Linked DNA regions of Caenorhabditis elegans. The protein of the gene in region 1 purifies or fractionates together with the protein of each later gene. This does not show direct contact. Each region holds a gene or a part of one and is shown in the gene's direction. Other genes may lie near its edges.

Region 1 (3,758 bases):
TTTTTCTCCTTTTTTCTAACCTTCCCGTTTAAACTGTGATATTGCTTCACGTCACCCAACCCCTCAATTATCCTCAAAAGTTCAACCACTCACCAAAACTATTATACACTTGCAAAAAATTAAATAGTTGATTGAATACTTTACACAACCTCACCAAGTTTATAATTATGGTTCCAGTAGCTGATAATTGGTTTTTCATTGACTTTATGTTCAGATGGATTCACTTTATAAACCCATTGAATGTATATAAAAACCTCGTCATTTATTATTTTCTTGTAAATGAGTTGGTGGTCGACCCAAAAAAGTCGTCGATTCAGCTCGAATAGTTCAGAACAATGCTCCGCGTGGGGTTGCCATTGTGGGTTGTCGAGAGTTTTGAAGGGACGGAGCAGAACAAAAAATGAATGAAAAGCAAATTGCAAGAGAGAAAATGTTGGGAAGGGAGATGTCAAGTTGCTAAGATTAGAAGCAGGAAATCGGTTGTGGAAAAGATTTGTTTTCGAATTTTGTTCCGCCTTGTGAAATTTCTGAAAGTTTAACCTACAATACTTATTTTAAAACAGTAGCAGGAGCAGCAGGAGTAGGAGTAGCTCCAGTTGGGGTGTTGTCAAAATATCTTCAACCTAGGTTAAAAATAATGAAAAAAATAAATACATTCTTTCAAGAGTTTTCACAATTTTCGTCGTAAATTTGGTAAATACCAATTTTTGAAAGATTTGGACTCATTGATAAACGTGCCTCATATGCTAAGCCTATTTGAATACAAATTGCAAACAAAATATAAAACTTGTAAAACATTTTTGGCAGACTTCCAAAACTATGATAGGTCAAAAGTAAGTATTTTCCACTCACTTGACTTAAAATTTTAAAGATGATTTTAGCACCATTGGAAGAAATTTGAAATAGTTTTTTAAAAAACTCAGTAGACATATCAAGTTTGAATATTCTAAAAACTTTTGAAATATTTTTTAATGATTTTCAGCATCAAATCTTTCAACGAGCGTTTAATTTTGGACGTAAAAATTCAATAGGTCCTCGGTCTAGACATAATATATGTATAGAAAAAACAATGTGATTTTAACGTCCAAAAAAGTTATTATTTTTGACGAGTTATCCTGTGGAAATTTTTGTAGAGTTGCAATTCTCATTACATTGAATAACTATTCTTGAACTTATCGTTCAAATATCTACTTTTTGTTTTACTGAAATAGATAGAAAATGTATCAATTGCAAAATGATCTCATCATGAAAAGACATGGAGTCAATGAAAAAGTGGGGAAACGGGATGAATGTACGTGACTTTTTTCAACTTCCTTTTCATTTGGATAATTAATTTTTTGTTTCAAAAGTTGTGACGAAAGCTCATAATCCTGGTGGGAAAATATGTGTTTTCGAAAATCAGGGAACATTTAAATATATTTTATTAATTTAAACATGTAACCAATTTTTCTGTTTCAAACATTTGATATTCTCGCCGTGCATTGAGTAATACACTTTTGATCTTATAATGCCTACGATAAAAAGTGTGTTTTACTAAAAGGAAAGGTCATGTGAAGAAATAATTATTCCTAAGTAAACGAAGAAATTGTGAGCACTGCCGACATTTACACTGAAATGAAGTTTATTATCAGAAACCTACCGTAATCCAGCCATAATTCTGTTGACTGTGTTTCGTGTTGCCGGGAAACTTTTTGACAGATTATAGATCGGAAGTCGCGTTTTTTGTTCCCAAGTTCGGTTTGCAGAAACTAGAAAATTTCACTGAATTCCTTTTAATGAATTGGTATCACAGATGAATTCCGGTTCAGATGCTCTCCTAAATCAGTTCCGAATTACCGATCAAATACTGATAAGAAGAAAAGGAAGGGCAGCACGTGAGCACTGAGCACTGGTACGAAGCTTTTCGACGTCAAGAACTAGAGAAAACCACAGAATCGGAAGATTGATAAGACATTGTAAAATGGTATATAAGGGAGACGTGCGGTAAAGAAGGCAGCTTATCGCTCAACTTCTTTCAACAAATATGGTAAGTCTTTGATTTCTAGTTAGGAAATTTCAAATAAAAATTACTTTCGATTTTTAATTTGGCATTCATCTTGACATTTCAGAAGTTCCTTATCCTTACCGCGCTCTGCGCAGTCACGCTTGCCTTTGTCCCAATCAATCATCAATCGGCTGTTGAGACCCTCACCGGTCAGGCTCTTGTTGATTATGTCAACTCAGCTCAATCTTTGTTCAAGACTGAGCATGTTGAGATTACCGAGGAGGAGATGAAATTCAAGCTTATGGATGGAAAGTACGCTGCTGCCCACTCCGATGAAATCCGTGCCACCGAACAAGAAGTTGTTCTCGCCTCTGTCCCAGCCACCTTCGATTCTCGTACCCAATGGTCCGAGTGCAAGTCCATCAAGCTTATCCGTGACCAAGCCACCTGTGGATCCTGCTGGGCTTTCGGAGCAGCTGAGATGATCTCTGACCGTACCTGCATTGAGACCAAGGGAGCCCAACAACCAATCATCTCTCCAGATGATCTTCTCTCCTGCTGCGGATCTTCCTGCGGAAATGGATGTGAAGGAGGATACCCAATTCAAGCTCTCAGATGGTGGGACTCAAAGGGAGTTGTTACTGGTGGAGACTACCACGGAGCTGGATGCAAACCATACCCAATTGCCCCATGCACATCTGGAAACTGCCCAGAATCCAAGACTCCATCTTGCTCAATGAGCTGCCAATCTGGATATTCAACTGCCTACGCCAAGGACAAGCACTTCGGTTTGTAAAAATTACATAGAATTGTGGAATAATTATATTATTTCAGGAGTCTCTGCCTACGCTGTTCCAAAGAATGCTGCATCCATCCAAGCTGAAATCTACGCTAATGGACCAGTTGAGGCTGCATTCTCTGTTTACGAAGACTTCTACAAATACAAGAGCGGAGTTTACAAGCACACCGCCGGAAAGTACCTCGGAGGACACGCCATTAAGATCATCGGATGGGGAACTGAGAGCGGATCTCCATACTGGCTTGTTGCCAACTCATGGGGAGTTAACTGGGGAGAGAGCGGTTTCTTCAAGATCTACCGTGGAGATGATCAATGCGGAATTGAATCAGCAGTTGTCGCCGGAAAGGCCAAGGTCTAAATGCATTATGTACACAATTTTTGTAATTACCATCTGCCAAATAAAAATGTTCATAATTTAAATTTGTTCTTAAATCTTCTGAAATATATATATCTTTATTAAAATTTACGAAGAGCAATTACAAAAGTGCATGAAATCAAAATTAATCTAGTCACATTATGAACAACTGACATCAAAAATTATTTCTTATTTGCTTCGGCGACAGTTGTACCGTTGAACCCTACCGTAGCTGGTGGTAAGTCGTGGAATGTGATAACAACCTGAAATTTTGAAATATCAATAATCCATTGTTTGATTAATAAAACATAACGAAATATTTGTGACTTAAATGTTTGACATAAACTACACTTACCTTATCTTTTGGAAGACCCAATTCCTTTCCACAAAACTCAGTGATGGCTGCCGTATTGCGAATATTGTCTTCAGCAGACACTGCTCCGATTGATTTGATCTAAAGAATTTATTATTGCGAGAATTTTGAACTTCTGCCAGAAAAAGGATGGTTTCATAAAGTTTTAATTTCCTTTCTAAGTGTAACAAGGAACTTAAATGTAGTTTTAAAGGTTTTGGTTTACCAAGGTGTTACTTTTGGAAAGTGTTCCTAAGTCACTTACCGA
Region 2 (2,787 bases), on another chromosome or scaffold:
ATATGTGTCGCCAAATCTTCGTAACACCGTCAATATCTGGAAGTATGGAGGATGGAACGGATGCACATGGAGCTCAATCCCAACTCTCGGTCTTTTGTAAGTTTATATCTTTAAGTTAATTCTAATGGATTAGAATGGGTGAACTGTTTAGGCTATTCTCGACTTCTAAATAATAAATAACGATTCATCTTCCAGGAAGGACCTTGACGCCTGCGCAAACGGAGTCCCATGCCCAGTCCGTCCAGGAAACCAAGAACTTGACGTCATCATTGACTTCACCAAGTTCGACCAAATCATCGCCTTACTCAAGGACAATCAGCCATATCAACTCGAGTACATCCTTCACGACAACCAATCCGGAGACACCTCATGCATGATGGTCCAGGCTTGGGCCTTCCTTAAGTAAAATGCTTTCCCATTTGGCGATTGGCTTTAAGATTTCTAATTATATTTGCACTATAACACGGGCGTATATTTTAACAACAATAAAATGTACATAATCTTGACTTTTTGTTGGTTTTTGTTCATTATCAATTTGAAGGAAAAATTTCCGAAATCGAACTAAAGTTGCGATAACATTTTGATAAAAAAGAACTATTCGCACTGGAAAATGTTGCATATTTGCCATTTTGGCAATGAACCAAAAATCAAACAAGTAAACAAGGAATCAGAAATTATTAATAATTTCCCGATTCAGTTATAGTTTGAAAACTGAGAAATTTCAATAAGTACCTAAAGTTGGAAGTATGAAGAATACGTGCTTGCACAGGTTTTTTAAAACTTTGTCTTTCCTTCAATTCATCGGATTTAATGATCAAAATAGAAGAAGAATATAAAAATCGCATAGACGTCAAAAATGAAAATTTTCTTCATATCTTATGAGTACAACGAGTTACTTTACCACGCGTCAATTTCTTAGGCCTCCATTGTATCATAATTTTATTTTAAAAAGCTTGGAATCAGTTATTCATTGTATTAGAAAAACATGGTGCAGTAGCGGCCTTCATATTGACACGTGTTACAGTAACCCGCTTTCCGCGTGGCGAGACCCATTTGCGTAAATTATGACGGAAACTCTCATCTTCTGACGTCTACGTAATATTAAGACGCTGATAAAGCTAAAGTTGCTGAACAAAGTAATGAAAAATAAAAATGTATGGTACCCAAGTTTTAAAGGCGCATAGCACGAGTGAGCAAAATTTTCAATCGTGGCGAGACTTCGAAAGGTGCATTTCTCAGGAATACTCAATATACATATGAAATTTTTTCAATGAAAATGAGTACTTCCTGTGGATATTTCCGGTTCTCTGTGACCTCTTTTTTATTCTAGAATCACAATTACATGCAAAAAACTATTAAAACGCGTGGTTTCTTCAAATTGCCATGTGCTTTGATATTTCTCTTATCGTAGTTTTTCCTATCGAATTTGATGATCATTTTGCAATTTAGTTTTCCATTTTCTCAAATTTCCCAGTTAACCAATTACAGATTCACTATTTTATTCCAACTTAGATCACATCCACTAGCTTTCGAAACGAAAAATTCTACTTCAATTCCAGATGCTTGCTCGTTGTCTGTGTCTCTTCGCCCTACTTGCTCTCTCGTCGGCATGCGATCAATGGCCGAATACTACAGAGACAAAGGTCAACTGGTGGCAATGCTCAAATGGACCAGTTATGGTGACCAATGTTAATCCAACTGATAAGAGTGGTTCGCAAGTTTTCTGATAGTTTCTACGAATGTATAATTGAATCCAGGTAACAGTGAATATCCAATCCGTCTTACTGAACCACTTCTCATTGCAACATCCATCAATGATCCATCCTCAACTTATACTACTCCTGGACTTAAACAAACTATCAAGGTCTGGTCATGGAATATGGCTACTTGTGGATGGTCTTCAGTACCAACTTTTGGACTTTTGTAAGATTTTTGCTTCTTACAGTAACCTACAGTAACCTTTTCCAGGAACAACATCGATGCTTGTACCAACGGAGTACCATGCCCAATTGAACCGAAAAACAAGGTCATCAATTTGGAACTCGACTTCTCTGATACTCCAGCTATCATCAATCTTCTCAAGGTTATTTTGATGTGTATTCTTCGAAAGTTAAACCCCCAATTTCAGAACGATAAGCCTTACCAACTCGAGTATCTTCTTCATGATGACCCGAGCAAGGAAGACCTTTGCATTATTTTCCAGGCTAGAGCTCTCACTCATACTTAAATTTTGAAGTGAACAATTTAATAAAGCAATAAACTTTTTTCTCAACAAAAATTATAAATTGAATTCTTAAATAGTGTAACAAAACGTGGAAACTGGGTGAAATATGGGAAACAACCGAATGCGAAACAAAACAGGAAAAATTTAGGCAGTGAGTTGAAGCTGCTTGTAGACTTGCTTTCTGTATTCTTCGAGTCCTCCCTCCAAAGTTGTCACCATTCGATCCTTCACAACCCAAAGTTCCTTGCACACAAGCTCGATGAGTTGCTCGTCGTGAGAAACTAAAACGACACCTCCATTGAAAACATTAAGCGCTTTTCCAAGAGCTTCAACCGTTTCGACATCCAAGTGATTAGTAGGCTCGTCAAGAATCAAGTAGTTTGGCCTGAAAAATACTATGAATTAGACGGAGTTTGAATAAATTTTTTTTTCTAGGAAAAAATGAATATTTTTTGAAAATGTTGCTATTTTCAAGCAAAACTCACTGCATCAAGGCTAAATTAGCAAATGCCAATCGAGACTTTTGACCTCCAGAAAGTGTCTCAACAGATTGCAAAGCCATA
Region 3 (3,630 bases), on another chromosome or scaffold:
TTTGACTATTTCGTGACTTTTTTGGGGCTTCGATCATCAAAATTTCGAATATTTTTATGATTTTTGAGCATTTTGATGTATTTTTTTTCTTCTAAATGACTTTCAGATCTCCTTGGCAGAAAAAACTGCGAATATTATAACAACTTGAAGCTTCCTCGACGATTTTTGGCGACCTGCTGTTCCATGTGACTCACCATTCCAATTTCGCAATCCACTGGTCATTCTCGGCATTAAGATCCATTTTCAGCGCTCAATTTCGCAATTTTCAAAGCTAGAAAGCTTTGTTCAAATTGAATTGTTTCGCAACTCGTCTTCTATCGCCTTTTGGTTCTCTTTCTCCTCCGTCGTCTTCGCTGTGTTCTCTTCAAAATGATTCATCATTGGCTTTGGTTGTGTCTCTGGGTCTGTGTGTTCAATATAAATTGCAACTGCATTTGACATTAGTATGGATTGAGGCGGGTTATTTCACCCTCTTTTAGTAGTACACACACATTCAATTTGATGGGCGGTCTCTGTCTCTCTTTTCGTCCTTTATGGGTGAATAACTGACCAGCGGAGCAAGCAGGCAGGAGCAGGAGCACAAGCTCGTTGTTCGGGTTGAAAAGGGGAAGAAGGAGAGCACCAGATGGCATGCAAACATTCTCTTTCTCTTCTTCTCTCTATTGCTTTTCCTCACTGTCATTCACTGCTTCTCCATTTGCCCAGCCAATTAGATGGAGTGTTCCGGGTGGTCAAAGATGTCCTCTAGTTTTCGTAGCAATTTTCATCTTTCGGAATTTGAAATTGGAAGTTTTCTTTAATTTCTCTCAATTTTGGGTCATCTGGCGATTTTATGCCATTTTTCTTGTGAAATTAAATTCTCAGATTGCTCTAGATAGTTCAAATCCTCTAGTAGTTGAAAATTCGCCTCAAAACGTTGCTTTTTTAAAAAGAATTCTCCCTTAAGTTGGTCCTAATTTCTCGAGGCGAGATCTTCCAAAAGCTGAATTTTTCCAAGTTTTCTACATCTGAAACTCGAAATATTTACTATTTTCGTAGTTTTTGGTAGTTTTCGGTGTTTTCGAGCTTCAATTCCGCCTTTTTGGCCTGAAAATGGTCTGAAAATCATCGAAAATTGGTCAACTCTAGGTAAAATGCCAATTTTGGTTTAAATCGGCTCAATTCACAGAAAATTTCCAAGAAATTCATGAAAGAAGCTCAATTTTTGCACTACATTGGCGAGAAAATTGTGAATTTAGTGAGATTTTGTTGGTTTTTGTCATTTTATCCATTCGCAAGTTCTTCGCCACCAACTTACACCACAGATAAGCAAAAAATCTGCGGAAATATCAATTTTTGGGTATTTCGGCATTAAAATTCCATTTTTTGCGCAGTAAATCAAAAAATAATCGATTGTTTACAAAAACCGTAATTTTCAAGCGATTTTATGCTCTTTTTCTCCTAATTTGTGCTCTTTCTTCATATTATCATTTCTCATTACCCCTCCAACCATCTCAATCATAATTTATGTTTATTTTTTCAGTATAATCTCCGCTTCAACCTCCTCCAAAACACAAAAATGTCCGGATGGAATGCCTACATCGACACAATGACTGCCGCTGCTCCATCAATCAAACGGTGTGCAATCGTCGGAGCCGCTGATGGATCTGTCTGGGCTCGTACTGAGGCTGACAATGTGTTCAAGGTATGGAAATGGACGAAAATCATCGAAGAAGCTCGAGAAAAAATCGATTAAAACTGGAAACGATTGAAAAATCCTTAAATTGACCCATTTTTGAGATTGAAAAGAGCTAGCGGGGTCGATTTTTGTTGGAATTTTCGCATTTTGACCCAAAAAACTGAAAATCTCGCGAAATTATTCACTTTTTGAATTGAAAATCGAAATTTTTAGCCGCTGAATTTACATTTTACAGGAATAATTAGCAAATCCACTCAAAAATTGCAAAATTTTCATTATTTTTCGAACAAAATTAAAAAATTCCAGATTAGGCAGGCTTCAGGCGGCCGTGCCTGCCTACCAGCCCCTGTTTCTCATATAGTTTATACTTCTTCGAAACCCAAGTAGGCAGCAGACAGGCTTAGGCTACCTTGAAGGTCAGGCAAGTTACCTGCCTGACTACCTTCGAGGTGGCCTGCCTGATACCTACATTAGAGCCTACTTGTATTTCAGCCGCCTGAAGCCTGCCTACTCTGGAATTTTCTAAACTTTTTTTTTTCAGATTTTTCAATTTCATGAAAATTTAGAGTTAAAAAGCGTTAAAAAAAAAATTAAAATTCGAAGATTTTTTCCTGCAAAATGTAAATTCACAGACTGAAATTTGTGATTTTCCAGTATCTCGGCCAAGAATAAGCCGATTTTTTTGGAAATTTCAGTGTTTTGAGGCCTAAAAATGCGAAAATTGGGGAAAAAGGCTAACTTTAGGGTTACTGGATTTAAAATTTCGAATTTTTGGAAATTTCAAAGCGCAAATTTTTTAACAAGAAATATTTCCTGTCCAAAAACTTCTCTAATTTTTTCCAATTTCCAGGCATCCGAAGAAGAGCTCAAAACCTTCGTTGCCCTATTCAATGACGTCACTCAAGTTCCAGCAAAAGGAGCCGATATCGAAGGAGTTCATTACGTCGTTCCACGTACCGAAGAATCGCTCATCTTCGGAAAAAAGGAGAACACTGGATTCTTCGCTGTGAAGACCAAGTCTGCAGTCTTGATTGCTGTCTACGAGGGACCAAATGAAGTTGCTGCACAAGTTCGCAAGGCTGTCGAGAGTATGCAAACCTATCTCAACAATGCTGGATACTAAATACTTCTCTCTCTATCGATTGTTGTTCGATTCGTATTTATTCCCGCTTTTCTCTATTTTTTTTTTGCAAACTTCCCCCTTCTCCCTTCTCCCAAACCTTGATTTCTACGAGTACAACGATGAAATTCGGTTTTCTTCCGCGTAATCTTTCCCTCAAAACTCCCATTCCCAGAGCAAACACAGAAACAGTTTTTATTTCACTTTCAGCTTTATCATAATGTATTGTATTCCCCCGTTTTGTTTTCTAGTAAATTCATTGCCAATTCAATGCCTTCTCGATTATTTCATTTTCATCTCCCATCGACGGAGAAAGAGAGTGAGAGAAGAGTTTTGTGCTCGGAGCAATTATCGCGTGTTTTTTTCGAAACCACGCCCACACTGCAATTGTGCGGCGCGGTTTTTTGGTCAGAATCATTTTACAGATTTTTATCATCGTTTGCAAAAATCGTTTAGAGAAAAAAAACTCGGAAAAAGATGTCTAGAAAATGAGGGAAAAACAATTAAAAAGTAATCACATTTGTCAAATGAAATTTTCCACAATATCTTACGCGAATGGGTCTCGCTAGGCAGACAACACGGTTACTGTAACTCCTGTCGGTTTACAGTAACCTGTTGCCAGCGTGGCGAGACCCGTGGGAGTGAGATATGGCGGAAATTTTTATTTTTCGGCGTCTTCGTATTATTTTTTATGAGAAAACCCATAAGAGTACGTAAGAAAAAATGGCCGAAAGTTTAAGCTTTTCGAAAATATGGAATTTTTCTATATATCGGAAAATCATAAATTTTCGTCTCAGAAAAGGGTGCCGTTTTTCGATTTTTCAATGTTTTT
Region 4 (4,253 bases), on another chromosome or scaffold:
ATAGGACAAACGACAACTGAGATATTAATTGTCAAAGTTGAACAATGGGATGCAAGACTAATAGAGGAAATATTACATATTAAAATTTTCGAGCTAAAAATATTTAAATTATGTCTATAGAAAGGTAACTTCATTTTAATTATAATAGAAACATTATCTGTCAAAAATGCAAAACTATTATGCAAAACTATTGTTAACGCCAAGAGTCGAAACTCCTATTAGATTACGGTCAGTGAGTTCAAATGAGGCTTCAAATGGTAACGTGAGAATTCGAAAGTTTCAAAATTAGTGAAATCAAAAGTATGAAGATAACTTCCGGGTATACTGTTTAAATTTTCAAAGAGGCTTAATGGTTACTGTAGACTCCCAGTGTAGCTAGAAGTTGTTTGATTTTTAAAACACTGTTGCAGCTGGCCTCACTGATGTCGATGGATACATCTTCCCTTGCCTAAAATCGACTTGCGCATCTGCTGCTAACCAAGTTAAGGCGTCTCTTGATGCAGTTAAGGCTGCTGGAACTAAGATCTCCACTCTATGGCTTGATATTGAACGTCTCAATTGGCCAGCTGATCATGCTAGCAACCGTGCATTCATTGAAGCAATGGTCAGTGAAGCAAAGGCTTATGGACAACAAGTTGGAATCTACAGTAACTATTACAATTGGCAAGATATTGTTGGATTGGATTATCATGGACAATCTAGTTTGATGCTTTGGTGGCCTGCATACGATGGAGTCAAGGATTTCTCAAAGTACGCTCCATTCGGAGGATGGTCGAAGCCAACAATTCATCAGTGGTCTGACACCACTACTGGTCCGTGTGGAGTCTCTGTTGATATGAACTACATTCCATAAATAATTTTTTAGCGCTTTAATAATAAAGTGTATATTTCAGTAAACAACATTCGTTCATTATTATGATTTATTCATTCCTTTAATAACGTTTGAGAATTGCTCCGAGCAATTCAAAGTAATCTGAAAAGCATCGAAAATTACTTGAAATTTAATAAGGAAATTCAGTTTTCGATGACTAATTTTTATTTTGAAACTACTAGAAAGTCTATTCCAACTTTTATAATAATTTCTGCAATAATTATTGAGGAATTCCTTAAGGAATGATACAGTACGCAAATGAGGCATGTACGTTATTATCAATTTTTGTGGAGTATTTCGTCAATTGATCACATTTTGATGCCATCGTCGGTAGCAGAAATCACGTGCAATCAAATAATGATAGACGAAGCAAAAAGGTTGATAATGTAGTCTAATGTGCGAAGTTCAAATTGCTAATCGAAAAATAAAACACATTGGGGAGTTGGGTTTTCAGAAAACTCGGTATATTTGAAATCATCTGAAAATCGGCTAATGACTTTTAATACAATTCCCGGTATTTTTTAGGAAGATGTACCGTCAAAGAGAATAAGTCATGAGCTCAAAAGCTTTCTAGGTCACAGCCGACCTGTGATCTGAAGCAGGGAACAAATCAAGAACATAATCACGTTTTCAAGCATCTAACTTTAAGCACCTTATGTTTTCTCAGCTTTTCACGCTTCCAAACAGATTAATTAAGTTATTTTCAATAAACTGTATAAACTTCAAAAAATTTACAGATAAACAATGAATTTCACAATGTTTGGATTGAAAAATTGATAATTTCTTTAGTGTTAATTTAGGCAACGCCAACAAACCACGCACAAGCCTGCTGCCGGGACCATTAGCTTGTAGAAATAATACAGTACTCGGGAGGGTCGAAGGTTTCAATTTTAGTTCTTTTGATCTCATTGTTGCAAATATTGAAAAACGACGAGAGATAACGGTCGAGAAACCCCGAGAAATATTTTCGAAAATGAGACGAAAGTGTAGTTGCTCTCCATATTTTGTTTCATATTTTACATCAGCCTCTGAATAAAACAAAAAAGATAAGAGAAGAGGGTTTATGAAGTTTTTGATTTTATCTTTCCGCTTGCGTCAAAGTCATAAAATTAGAATCTCCGGTATTTGGGAAGTATAAAAGAAGTGTGTGAAGGCTTAATCAGGGGAGTTCAGAGAATCATGAAGTTCTTCGTCTCGGCTTTGCTTTTGATCGGTGCTGCAAGTGCAGCTAGAAATGGAATTGATTTCATTCAACCAGTGTCTACTGCTACATTTCAATGTATTCATAAGGCTGGATATTCTTTCGTAATTCCAAGAGTCTTTACTTCTGTTGGAACTCTTGATCATACTGGAATTCAAAACGTCAAGAATGCTAGAGCAGGTGAGCATTTCAGATGGGTATCAAGGAATGGTTTTTACCATTTTCAAAATAATTTCCATTCTTGGCAATTTGGTTCTCCTTTCCCTCGCGATTCTTCGCCTCACACTTCTAACTTATAGGTCTGTGCATACTTCCTAGTATAAGTTATGAGTATTAAATTTGTAAGAAAATACTTAAACTAACAAAATCTTATCTCTTTTTCTTATTTCTTTTTGTTTGTTTAAAAACTGCCATCAAATAATTCAAATACACATATTCCCAAAAGTCAAGATGTAGTGGTCAATGAAATATCTTTTCGTTACGTTTTACAACCATTCATTGTCCCCTCTGACTGTCTAGTTTACCAGGGCATGCATTGTCACATGATTGTAAACAGAGTATGGAAAAATAATAATATTCAAATATATTTGTCAATAGGTTGAATATAGAATTCAAAATTTAAACTAATCTTGCTCTTTAATATGTTTTACAAGTATACATACAATGCATCTAGTGAGTGAAACAATATATTACCTCTTGAAACTAAAAAATGAAAAAAAAAATTACAGTTTCTTTCTAAGTATTATTGTCCAGAATAGCAGAAAATTCCAATTTAGGTGATGGTTCGACTGAAAATGTAATATGAATGTTCAAACTTGTAGGGACTACCACAATTATGCTTTTCTAAAAAATTAAACATTTTGGAAAAACTTCCAAAAGAAAAGTTTTAGGTGAAAATTTTTTCAACCATAACTAATCATATGATCCTTTTGAGCTGAATATTGAGACCGTAAGGGGGCCCTTATGATCACTTTAAGTTGGAATAATCAGATCATAAGGATGAGCTTTATAGTATTCCAAGTCAATTATAAGCATTGTACGGGTTCGAACATTCAAACTGATAATATTCCAATTTATTAAAACATCTGAAGTTTTCTACAAGTTTCATTCAGTACCAAGCTAATTACAAATTTTGCAGCTGGCCTCACCGATGTCGATGGATACATCTTCCCATGCTTGAGATCTAACTGCCCATCTGCTGCCAATCAAGTTAAGGAAACTCTTGATGCTTTGAAGAGTGCAGGAACTCATGTCTCTACTCTCTGGCTTGACATTGAACGTCTCGCTTGGCCAGCTAATCACGCCAGTAACCGTGCATTCATCGAGGCAATGGTCAGAGAAGCTCAAGCTTACAAGCAACAAGTTGGAATCTACAGTAACTATTACAATTGGCAAGATATTGTTGGATTGGATTATCATGGACAATCTAGTTTGATGCTCTGGTGGGCAACCTATGATGGAATTAAGGATTTCTCAAAGTTCGCACCTTTCGGAGGATGGAGCAGACCAACAATTCATCAATGGGAAGGAACCACTACTGGCCCATGTGGAGTCTCTGTTGATATGAACTATGTTCCATAAATAGCTGACCAAAATGTATAAACATGAATAAACAAATTTTTATATGTAAACCCATACATTTTCGCTAGTTTCAGACGCGCAATTGATTTCTTGATTTTTTGAAACAATTTAAAACTGTAAAACTGACAACAAATGGGTCAGTTTTAGAACATTCGAAAATTATGTTTTATTTTCAATAATTTTTTGTTACTTATTTAAAAAATTTATCATTATTGTTCGGAGACTTTAATTATATTCTCATTCAGAATTGTTTTCTATTTTTTTAAATCTAGACCTGTGAGTTTCAAGTGAGTTTCGGCCAAAATAGTAACATCAAAATGGCTTTACATTTCAAAAAGCAGATACGGTAAAACTTAAATTTTTGTTCTCTTTTCTTTCAAAACTATTATGTTGTTGATCTTCTAGACACGTTGTCAAGTCAAAATGCGTAGTGATGACGTCACTTGGGGTAACCTTGAATTACACAATTGACCTCAATCGAATCAAAATTAAAGTTGACGAGTACAAATATTTAGTCTTGTTTTTTTGTTTCTCCATCTCATTATCAACATTTCAACATGCAACTTCTTGCGATTTCTTTCTTATTTATAACTTTTATTA

Evidence for each region.
Region 2: the proteins of cpr-1 (region 1) and F42A10.6 fractionate together in Caenorhabditis elegans (co-fractionation; one large-scale study listed by BioGRID). This does not show direct contact.
Region 3: the proteins of cpr-1 (region 1) and pfn-1 fractionate together in Caenorhabditis elegans (co-fractionation; one large-scale study listed by BioGRID). This does not show direct contact.
Region 4: the proteins of cpr-1 (region 1) and lys-4 fractionate together in Caenorhabditis elegans (co-fractionation; one large-scale study listed by BioGRID). This does not show direct contact.

What each region holds. Positions count from the first base shown.
Region 1 is NC_003283.11:11,973,557-11,977,314, forward strand, and holds cpr-1 (Gut-specific cysteine proteinase), read left to right. Parts: upstream 1-1,994; 5' UTR 1,995-2,023; coding exon 2,024-2,026; intron 2,027-2,108; coding exon 2,109-2,772; intron 2,773-2,818; coding exon 2,819-3,141; 3' UTR 3,142-3,200; downstream 3,201-3,758. Other genes in the region: MIF-like protein mif-2, read right to left, coding at 3,321-3,401, 3,494-3,592, 3,756-3,758. UniProt on the Caenorhabditis elegans protein: Thiol protease. Has a role as a digestive enzyme.
Region 2 is NC_003281.10:6,175,634-6,178,420, reverse strand, and holds F42A10.6 (MD-2-related lipid-recognition domain-containing protein), read left to right. Parts: upstream 1-1,559; coding exon 1,560-1,710; intron 1,711-1,757; coding exon 1,758-1,923; intron 1,924-1,968; coding exon 1,969-2,083; intron 2,084-2,128; coding exon 2,129-2,227; 3' UTR 2,228-2,264; downstream 2,265-2,787. Other genes in the region: F42A10.7 (MD-2-related lipid-recognition domain-containing protein), read left to right, coding at 1-96, 196-406; abcf-3 (ABC transporter domain-containing protein), read right to left, coding at 2,369-2,609, 2,710-2,787.
Region 3 is NC_003279.8:12,920,482-12,924,111, forward strand, and holds pfn-1 (Profilin-1), read left to right. Parts: upstream 1-1,522; 5' UTR 1,523-1,558; coding exon 1,559-1,684; intron 1,685-2,528; coding exon 2,529-2,801; 3' UTR 2,802-3,067; downstream 3,068-3,630. UniProt on the Caenorhabditis elegans protein: Binds to actin and affects the structure of the cytoskeleton. At high concentrations, profilin prevents the polymerization of actin, whereas it enhances it at low concentrations. By binding to PIP2, it inhibits the formation of IP3 and DG.
Region 4 is NC_003282.8:11,620,896-11,625,148, reverse strand, and holds lys-4 (LYSozyme), read left to right. Parts: upstream 1-1,974; 5' UTR 1,975-2,050; coding exon 2,051-2,252; intron 2,253-2,843; exon of another isoform or gene 2,844-2,864; intron 2,865-3,210; coding exon 3,211-3,653; 3' UTR 3,654-3,720; downstream 3,721-4,253. Other genes in the region: lys-5 (Lysozyme-like protein 5), read left to right, coding at 411-853; dsl-5 (Delta-like protein), read left to right, coding at 4,211-4,253.